Linked DNA regions of Mus musculus: regions 1 and 2 are each reported to be linked to region 3. The links are microRNA targets in miRTarBase. Many come from high-throughput screens and were not tested one by one. Region 3 holds a microRNA gene; each other region holds the end of a gene's coding sequence.

Region 1 (3,008 bases), not on the chromosome of region 3:
GCAGGAAGGCCAGAGTCTGGCAGGCAACTAGCAGTATTTGGTGAAAATTCTTTTCCTCTCTCTTCACCCCTTTTTAGAAAGCTCTGGGAAACTGCTACCAGATGACCTTAAGCACACAGCACAGGGAAAGATCAGCCTGACACCACGACGTGAACTGTGCTATCCTTGGTCTGCCATACATACTCGACCAATGTCCAGTTGTGTCCAGCAGGCAGAGACCTTGCTGTCTCCTGCTATCCCTTGCTCTGGGCAGTTCCTGACAGAGGAAACAACTAAGAAATCACTGTGGGAAAAACACTTAGAGCTGAGGCATATGAAAATAAAGTACTTTAAGGCAATCTTGTGAACTCATCTCTGCTGAGCTAGCAGAGGTGGCAGGGCAGGTGGCACAGAGTGGGTGAGGCAGATGCTGAGAAGCTGATTCAAGCATACTTTTTTCAAATGCTGGCACAAGACCACAGGGAGCCAAGATACATTCATCAATAGCATTTGGTACTTTGACCTGTAGGAAAAGCTAAAATGGGTCTGATGTACCGTGCACCATACTAAGACTATTTAAAAACCAAAGTATTGTCTTGACTGTGACTCCCATATTATGACAAGAAGACACTGTGACATCAAGATGCACCATAGAATGCAAATGTTGTCATGTGATAAGAGATACTAAATGGTCTATGACCAACATGCAGGCTATTCTTTCAAAGACAAAAGAGCAATTTTTTTTTTATCATTTAGGGCAAGAGTAACTAAACATACTTAACACAACCCTATTATTTGTAAACTAGAAATAAGTTCTGCTTAAATAAGAAATCTCTCAATGAGATATCCATTCCAACAAATATAATAGTAATCGTTGCCACAAGAAATTCAGTGACCTTTTTAAAAAAGATTATAAAATTGAATTTATTGAGTTTCACACAAGATGCACTTATAAAATTAGTACTGAATGCCATTATGACAGAAGTGAGTATCATCCACACTCCCAAGAGCATCTGCAAAGGAAATGCAATCTTCAGAGAACAGCGCGGAAACAGAAAACTCAAGCGGAACAGAAAGATACACCTAGGTCGTGCTCTTGTTCTGACCAGGGCTGCGTTTGGCAAAGCTTTTTCCACACGGCTCCTGGTTTCCATGGACACTCTCTTTCGGTAAAAAGAATAGTTTAAAAGTGGGGCCCCACTAAAACATACACAAAAGAATAAAAATGTTCATTTTAAACTTAAAATTGCTTCCTGGCTTTACAAGGCATAAATATATAGTATCTCCAACAGCTATCTTTAGATTCTGTTAGTGCAAAACATTAGAAACCCTCCTGAATCTCAAATGCATAAGCCAAAGCATCCAAACTAGTTTTATACTTATCCAGGATACAGCAAACCATTTAAAATTTGCCATCTGTGCCCAAATATTTGCATGAGAGCTGAGTTTCAGAAGACAGCATAGGAAATGAAGTTAAGAGTACCATCTTTTAGACAGTTCAGATCAGAAATGGTCAACTTTCTGTCTAAGAGAAGTGCAGAACAGACTCTTAAGATAAAGTAGGGTGTCGAGAATTTGTCCTGGGATGCTAATAGGTAGTAATGAAGCAGGAATAACATCTTTATCTCAGATGAAAACCCCAGAGCACCTTTTGGTTGCTAGTTACAGTGTCCCAAACACTCTACTTACGGTCGGTCGGTCATGTGAGGGTTTCCTCCCCACACAGAACAGACCCACAGGCAGACAAATGCATTTTACAAGCCCAGCAAGGTGACACTGCTCAATCTGCTGGGAATACTTTAAAACTGTTACTCAAACCAAAACAAAACCCAACAAACGAGCCTGGCACTAGCAACAGCTATGCAATGGCTATTCGCCAATTCAACACCAAATCCTTTAACTTGGAATAACCAATGAAGCAATTAGCCTTAAAGCAAAGCCAGGTCACACTGCACTTGTGCCTTTTACTCTGTTGACATTGCTCTGTGCCTTTTATTGTCACTGGGCCCGTGTCACACAGCTCACACTCTGCCCTGAGTAACCGAGGCAGCAGGAAGCATTTCTCAGTGACACATGACCTTTATAAAGTAAATGACTGGGCCAAGAGCTCACTGTTTCTCATAGGACGCTGCTATTCACCACGTTGTAGTTAAGTGGCCTTCTGTTCTGACTAGCTCAGATGTATTGCCAAGGATGACTCTGGTGGTAAGAACGTCATCTGGACTTAGATGTAGCAACTTGTCAATGCTTTGGCAGATGGAGTCAAGTCTGGAAAGAGTGTGTGGAGACAGTCTGAGGCTGGAAAGGGAACTCATGGTAGAAGCGTCACAGTTTCCCAGGTGTGTCCTTATCCTGAAGAGGCCTTGAGGAGAACCCGACGATCTGGAAGCCCAGGCTGACGAAGGAAAGGAGCTTCTGCAGTGCTTGGCCAGGTGCTGGAAGCAGCACTGCTGTTGGCCACGCAGGAGGAAGTGTTCAAGTGTCAGCATCCAGAGTCAGGGCCAGAGGCCACCGCTGCTCCGTGATCTGCCCTTCTGCAAGGCCACATTACTGGAAGAAAGATACTAAGATTTGCTTGCCATTAATAATTTAAGTTTTTAAATAAATATTTAAGTGCCATTTTTAGCAAGTGTCCTGGCACCCAGAATTTGTGGCCCGGGGCCTGACATCTTCATCTCATTAGTCACAAACTCAGTCAATCCGGTTCCCGCAAATTGTGAACCTGTCTATTTCTAACAAGTCTTTCTTTGAGGATCTGTGCTTTAACTCAGAATTTTCCTGTGTTATGTCCTTCTCATCACCATCTGGGGTTGTCAGGAACTGATCAGAATTGCTAGTCACGAGTAAAGGTATGACGTTTTCTTTCTGATGACCAGGCTGGCTGGTGACGGAGGCAGACAGGTTTTCTTCTGTGGAAAGGCCTGTGGAAAAGGAGATAATTTCTCTTCAGTCACAGCAAAAACTCATCAAACTACTTATGTCTTCAGAGTACTGGAAAGTATCTGTCATCTTTCCTCTTAGATACACCA
Region 2 (3,008 bases), not on the chromosome of region 3:
GTTACAGCTTAATTTTAAAATAGGATTTTTGATATTAATCTTTTTTAAGGCCTATTTATTTTATATATATGAGTACACTGTAGCTGTCTTCAGACACAGCAGATCCATTACAGATGGTTGTGAGCCACCATGTGGTTGCTGGGAATTGGAACTCAGGACCTCTGGAAGAGCAGTCTGTGCTCTTAACCACTAAGCCATCTCTCCAGCCCCTCAAATTAATCTTTAACACTCTTAAATCTATCCTGTTTTAATCTTGTGGTAGTTTGAAACTGGACCAAGGCTCATCTGGAATGGAGGTGTGGCCTTGCTAGAGTAGTCATGGTTTTGTTGGAGAAGGCCAGGCTTTGAGGTCTCATATGCTCAAGCCAGGTCTAGTGTCTCAGTTCTTTCCCTGCTACAAAGATGTAGAATTCTCAGCTACTCCAGCACCATGTCTGTTTTAAGAGTTGCTGAGGTGGTCATGGTTTCTCTCGACACGGAAATAGAAACCCAATAAGGCAGATCACATCTTCATTTTCATAAAGTGGCCAAGATGCAGTTAGTACACTGAATTCACTTAGGAAACAATCATTAAGCACCTCCATATTGTAGTATGTGTCCTCCGTTTCTCCCTCTCAGGATGTCCAGGTACTGCTGCATACCAGGCTGAAAGGATGAAGTGTAGTGGAGGGAGGAGGCAGCTTCCCCAGGGATTTTAGTTTATAGCTCTTTAGACAGTACTGAATGAATCTTAGCCAATCTTCGGTGAAACAGCTGGTGCACACACCTTTATTGGGGTGGGCTTGTGGACTTTATTCAGGAAGGACAAGGGATATATATGAACCATGGAGAGTGGGAAGGAGTTTCCAGGGTGATTGTAAAATCATTGGCTAGAGTTTAAAGTACTGTGAATGCCTCATTTGTATGGAGAAGTAGTCCATGAATGCCAGGTACTTTTGGGCGGGTTCTTATCCAGAAAGAGGAAGTTGCCTTTCCCAAGTAGAGGGGGTAGGGGTGTTGGGCTCCACAGGCTGCTGGTAAAGGGAGTTCTCCATTTTGCTCAGAGCTCAGAAGAGCTACCCAGATATTCTAGTCTGCAACATTAATTAGTTTCCCCACATCATATACTAGGTCTTGTACAAGTGATGTAAAGACAAGACCCTTAGAGAGCTGCCAGCAGGAGAGAGAGAGGTAACATTTTAAGAAAGAAAAGGAAAGGGCACCACGGAAAAGAGCTGAGCATGTCAGTTCCGCTCTGTGTATGGTTCCCCCTTAAAGAATAGGTCAAGCATGATAGCCCAGTCCTATAGGTCCCACACTCAGGAGGCAGAGGTGTCTTCATTTTTTTTTTTTTTTGGTTTTCCGAGACAGGGTTTCTCTGTGTAGCCCTGGCTGTCCTGGAGCTCACTTTGTAGACCAGGCTGGCCTTGAACTCAGAAATCCACCTGCCTCTGCCTCCCAAGTACTGGGATTAAAGGCGTGCGCCACCACGCCCAGCCAGAGGTGTCTTCTTTTTTAAGACATAGTCTCACTCTGTATGTCACCCTGACAGGTCTCGAGCTCACCTGTCTCTGCCTCCCACATGCTGGGATTAAAGACAGCCACCATGAAACCTGGCAGAAAGGTCTTTAAAAAAGAAAAGAAAAAGGTGAGGCTCTTTAGATCAGCATTTCCCACCAGCTATGGAATATTAAATAGTTAATGGTAAGATTTAATTCTGTGTTGCTTTGAAGTAACCCTGGAGAGAAGGCACCATGTGAAGCCGGGCAAGAAGCCGGAGAAGGCGCGTTAGGAGGACTGGGTGGCTGAGTCACCTGCCCTGGGGTTCAGTCACAGGCTGACCTGAAACAGTTCTGCAAAGAGCAAAGCAGTCACCTGGAAGGCTTATGAGCCAGCCTGCTGCGTCCCCACCCCCGACCCCGTTTCTAGGAAAGCTGATTTGGAGGTGTATCCATAAGAACTGCCTGGCTCGTGATTTTACTACACTCCTGAGAACCAGGGCAAATCCTAGCTCTGAATGGACGGAATGGACCAAATCCTGGTCACAAACAATGCTTTGTATTGTTCTAAGTACAATATAAGGACATGATTTTGGCCATGGTTAGGTGGATAGACATGGGAAACTAACCTACTATGCATTATATCCTACCAGACATGTCTTTAAGGCTTGGTCATAACTAATAGTGGGAAATCTATTAGTGATCACATACTTTCTAATATCAAACCATGACAGGAAAGCTTACCACAAAGTTAAAGTCAAAATCTTTATCCAAGTCACCATCCTAACAGTATTCTTGAAAATGGGCTACCTCGTGTGAGCACAGATCACATCCGACCTGGCTGCCCAGGGCACTGTGCTGCCCTCTGTACACACACACTCTCCTTTCCATCCTGCTGTGCCCACAGACCCAGCTAGTCAAGGTCCAAAGCGTCTCTGGGACAGACGTCCTCTCTGTCCATCAGCAGCAGAAATACTTGAGTTCAAACGATGATACTTGAAGTTATAGGCTCAGCAGCTATCTCTCAGCTTCCAGAGCGGTGAGAATACATCCTTGCATAAATATCGGGAGGAGCTACCCAAGAATGGGCATCCACCTGCCAGCTCCGCCTTCAACCAGACTTCATCTAAGCCCAGTTTCCCTCAGAGAAGTCACCATTTGGGAGAAAACTGCTCTTGACTGCAGCCCTGGTTCACAGGAAGGATGTCCTCTGCATGGAGACTCAGCACATCAGAGCTGTACAGCAGGTGGGAGGGCCTACTTGTTCCTCTTCCAGTGTGCCATTGACTCCTCCATGAAGTTCTGAAATGCTGGCTCTTCACGGCTTTCCTCTGTAACTGCAGGAGACAAGGGTGCTGTGTTTAAAACCTTCATAGTAGACAATGAATCAGAGCTCCTGTCATACACATACACACACACACACACACAGACAGAGAGACAGAGAGAGACAGAGAGAGAAAGAGAGACATACATTTTAAAATTATTTTTCACTTTTTCAAGACTGGGACTTGCTATGAATCCCAAGCTGGC
Region 3 (4,620 bases):
ATGGAGGTGGGTATAGGAGAATCAGCTTGAGGGACAGAGCTACACAGTAAGACAGTAAGCTCCTGTCTTCAAATGGGAGTAGTGATGGTAGTTGACAAGAAGTCACTTAGTCTACTGGTCTTCGGGCTGAAGGGATGAGGAGAGGGAACAACACAATAGGCTCCATATCCACTCTTCCTGTGAGCGAGTGACTCCTCTCCACGTAGGCCCATGTGTTTAGGCATATCTAGGGCCATGGGAGGGGGAATAGTTTGAGAAATCTCATCTATCAGACCCTGCACTGAGTCATTCATACAGAATAGAAAACAAGGAACAATAGACCTAGGTCATTCTTTTGAACAGCAGTTGGTGAGTCTATAATAGTCAAGGATCTTAGTGTGTTTATTAGTCTCCTAAGAGAGTAGCACCTCTGTTCATTTTGTTTCCTGCTACATCCTCTATGACTAACAGAGCTGTATCAAATAGTGCATACCTGAATATTTGTGAAAGGAAGGAAAAGGAACAGGGGTGTGGACATATAGGGGCTCTGTCCTTTAAAGTGCAGGCGAAGTGCCACCCTTTGGATTCCTTGGACAGGACTTACTATTGAAAACAGCACTTGTGCTGAGGATTAATGTTCCTGATGAATCAGGTCAGATAATCCTCTCTGTGGGCACAAGTCTGTGAATCCTCTCCTCTGTATACACTGCATTTATATGGGACTGTGTTAAAATATGGAAGAATCCAAGTGGACAGTGTACATGAAGTCCCAGTCTACAGTCCACTCATGCAGGCATAATGGATGTGACACAGCTCACTCTCCCTGGACCATTTGCTCCCTGAACCACATGTGGTTCATACTCCTGTGGACCAAATCCCTAGTTGAGTACCTGCCATACTGAATAAATAGACAGGAAACAGTGGAAGGAGGCGTAAAGGTCCTACATGAAGATAACTCAATGTCTGAACCCTTGCCCAGGTATATTGCATTCGCAAAGCACACTCATCCAAGTAGCAAGTACTAGAAAGGCACAGCCTGCACCTATGCCCTTGGCATGTGGGTTCAACAAGAAGGCTTACTGTTCTTGCCCTGTGCATTCCTCCAAGAGTTGAACTAAAGAAGAATTTCTCTTCCAGGTGTCGGTATGAGAACTAGAATGAAAAGCTGCGCACTTATGTCAATACACAGTTTACTATGTGCCCCACTTGTTCTTGATACCTGTTAGGGTCATAAGTGGAAATAAAGTTCTACCTATAAAATCTAGGTGGGAAGAGGCCAAATTTGTCACATTTACTCTCCCATGCACCATGCCCGTTGTATTTGTAGAAGGAAAGAAGGTGGGGGGAGGCATAAAAGAAGTATGCAAGCAGCAAACAGATGAGATATGATGCACAGACCTCCTGTCCTTCTCCATGCAGATCAGGCTCACCTTCCCCAAATCCTTGCCCGGGTGCATTGCATACAAATAGCATTTTCACCCAGGGACAAAGGATTAGAGAGGATGAGCAGAGCAGAAGGCCCAGGCACCTGTACCATGTTTGTGTGGTTCTGTATATAATATTTAATTTTCCTTGTCCTGATTCAGCCAAGCATCACCACCTATACCCAAGCTTGACATCCCTGATTTATATATGTATCTGCCCCCTTCCCACCATGAGCATCCTCTCTCAGAGAAAACTTCTACGTATACAAAATGGTATCTCTCCCAGATCATACTTGAGAATTTGTGGGGGCCTGATTTATGTTTGGAAGGTAGCAAGAAGGCTGGGATCTGAGAATGCATATACATACTGAAAGAGGGCACAGTGGAGGAGGATACTCCATTCCTTTCCAATGCCTTTATACAATTCAAGCTTTGTGGAACAGGGGTTATCACTGGATGTAACAAACGGGTTGCCTGAGTAGCAGCACCTAATGTGTGCTCCTCATCACATGATCTGACACTTAGCAAACTGGGAATCAAGAAAGCTCATGCTGAGAATAGAAGCATGTCTACCAAACATGATAAAGACCATTTTGCTGTTAGAAAATGTGTAGAACCAAGTCTGACAGCTAAAACCAAAATCAAATGGTGGCCAGGAGGAGGGAAGGTGGCAGGTGAGATGTGCAAGTATGGGCCATTCTACACGCAGACAAGGCTCAGCCTCTTTGAATCCTTGAACAGGTGTGTTGCACTGAAGCAGCATTCACACCTAGGTTCCAAGGATTCGAGAGGGGGAGCAAGCAAGAAGGCTCAGGAACCTGCCCTTCCTGTGTGTGGTCAATATGCTTGTGTGCAACACACTAAAAGAGAACGAGAGATGCGCTCTGTCCTTTACAAACACAAAGGTCTGGCTCTCAGAATCCTTGCTGAAGAACACTCTCACCCAGGTAGCAAGGATCAGAGAACTGAAGCAGGGCAAAAGGCTCACAGCAAATGAACGCATGGGCTCACCTTTGACACAAGGTGCTTATCTGTGATGAGAAAGAAGACAATGTTCTTGAGCTTCACATTAAGTATGTCTAGGCACCTGAGTTCAACTCCCAGCCTCCACATAAAAGAGCCAAGCGTGAGGACTCAAAGAAAGCTAGATCCCTTGGCCTAACTGGTGAGTGCCAAGTCCCTATTAGAGACTGTTTCAAAAAACAGGGTAGATGTCCCCAAAGGGGAAGCACCTCAGGTTGACCTCTGCACCCTCCACACACATACACAGAAAGAGAGAGAGAGAGAGAGAGAGAGAGAGAGACAGAGTGACAGACAGACACAGAGACAAAGAGAGACAGAGACAGAGAGACAGACAGACAGACAGACAGACAGAGACAGAGAAACCTGTCTAAATATATACATTCATATTTTGTTCTGAGATTATAAAAATATAAAGCCAGAGATACAAAATACTGAAAGAAAAAAAGACAGAGAGACAGAGAGAAGAGGCCATAAGCTCACAAGATGGCAGTAGAGATTGGCATCCTTTAACACACATCAGCATCTTGTTAAAGTTACTTCAGATACCTGGAGGACTTGGTACTAAGATAACTTACAGAGGTTTCTCATTAGTGAGCTCAAGATTTTGTATTTCTAAAAGGGGCTGGGTGATGCTGGGGACCTTACCAGCATCATGGATAAGACAGAGAAACTGTGGAGTTTGGTATCTACAAACCCTGTTTCAAACCTATACTTCACCATGTACTGGATTAAAGAATCTACCTGCTTTCTCCAAGGTCATGGACTACTTCTAAAAAATGAGAATAACAAATGCTATCTCTTTAAAGAGTACCAAAAAAATTAGGTAAGATGCAAGCCTAGAGTAGGATGCAGGACCTGGCCCCTGGCTATTATTTTTACCTCTTACACTACCATTTTTGTACACATGTGTCTAAATGAATGTCCTGTTTACAATAGTATGGTCATACTCATATATGCAAAAGCCAGGTGAAGGAGGCATGAATATCAGTGACTCGGAGAATCTGTAAAAGGCAATGCAAGGACTGGCTCTCTGGTAATTCTTCTTCAATGTGCCTAAATCAACGAAGTTCACACCCCTTTCTGTGAGGGATATGAAAGACAAAATCACAAGTTTCAATCTTTCACTTTCCTACTATATGTCACAGAGAGTGAAGAGAGTCAGGAGTAAGGAGAGAGGGGAGAAGTAGAGAAGGGGGGAGAGCGAATATAAATGAATGACAGTAAGGCATTTTTCTCTATGAGAAAACAAGTGTATCAAACAAAAGAAACCTTCTATGCTCACGGGCCTATATATGATGTACACCTAGCTATAGATGGGCTTCATTCATATTTGTTCTCCTATCTACCCAGCTGATGCAAAAGCATATCTATGACTGTCTAGGTATGTGTTTACAAAAATGTCAGTGTTAACAAACAAGTATACCTTCCTATAACAGCTCCGTCAAAGATGAAAACCAAGAGAGCCCACTACCCTTCCTTAGAGGTGTAAGAGAACAAGGTTAGGGGAGCAGGACTCTGTTCCTGCTAAGCTGTCAGTGGGCCTCTGCATTTGAAGGTTGCCTATGTGTGCTGAGAACGTGATGAATCAGGTTTGACACTTAGAAAGTGGAGGCTAAAGTAAGGAAGTGCATCCTGCAGCTTCTCAGGCATGTATATGTGATCGTACACAGTGAGAATGATTTTCATCCTCCTGTATGCACATGCTACAAAGACTGGACTGCCCAACTTACCACTGGCTCCACATATCAGCACACTATCATACAATCAGAACTATAGTCACATACTACATGGTGTTTGGTAAGCCACAAACTACATATACAATAGTAGTCACATAACATTTCATCACCTAGTAATCCTTATTAGTTTAACTATACACTCCCATGGTGGTTTAATAAAAATTGCCCTCACAGGTTCATATACTGGAGTGCTTGGTCCCTAGTAGGTAAAGCTGTTTTGGGAAGGATTAGAAGGTGTGGTGTGGCCTTGTTCGAGGAGTCAGCTCACTAGAGGTAGACATTAAGCTTTCAAAAACCCCAAGCCAGGCCCAAGCTTGTTTGTGTTCATGTTCTCTTTCTCTCTTCTCTCTCTCTCTCTCTCTCTCTCTCTCTCTCTCTCTCTCTCTCTCTCTCTCTCTCTCCATCAATATCTCCCCTGCCTCTGCCTCTAACTTGCAATAAGATATGAGCTCCCAGCT

Evidence for each region. Region 3 holds the annotated microRNA mmu-miR-362-5p (AAUCCUUGGAACCUAGGUGUGAAU, at 2,165-2,188, opposite strand). A microRNA usually pairs through its seed, bases 2 to 8, with sites in the 3' UTR of a target mRNA and lowers its output. Matches are read on the target gene's strand: a 7mer-m8 pairs with bases 2 to 8, a 7mer-A1 pairs with bases 2 to 7 and ends in A, and an 8mer does both.
Region 1: the mRNA of Tapt1 is a reported target of mmu-miR-362-5p. The part of its 3' UTR that is shown has no 7-base or 8-base seed match.
Region 2: miRTarBase lists Gpn1 as a target of mmu-miR-362-5p. Seed matches in the 3' UTR shown: 7mer-m8 at 2,528-2,534.

What each region holds. Positions count from the first base shown.
Region 1 is chr5:44,174,283-44,177,290 of GRCm38, forward strand. It overlaps Tapt1 (transmembrane anterior posterior transformation 1), which reads right to left. Exons shown (of 14, transcript NM_173764.3): 14 at 877-2,900. The coding sequence ends at 2,671. Among named protein-coding and RNA genes, the nearest start is that of Gm42427, 35 kb to the left of the region's middle.
Region 2 is chr5:31,510,639-31,513,646 of GRCm38, reverse strand. It overlaps Gpn1 (GPN-loop GTPase 1), which reads right to left. Exons shown (of 14, transcript NM_133756.5): 14 at 743-2,815. The coding sequence ends at 2,736. Among named protein-coding and RNA genes, the nearest start is that of Supt7l, 15 kb to the left of the region's middle.
Region 3 is chrX:7,239,855-7,244,474 of GRCm38, forward strand. Mir362 (microRNA 362) reads right to left here and starts at 2,192; the gene lies at 2,128-2,192. The region is part of intron 2 of Clcn5 (chloride channel, voltage-sensitive 5); the gene reads right to left. It overlaps Mir501 (microRNA 501), which reads right to left and starts at 1,497; the gene lies at 1,389-1,497.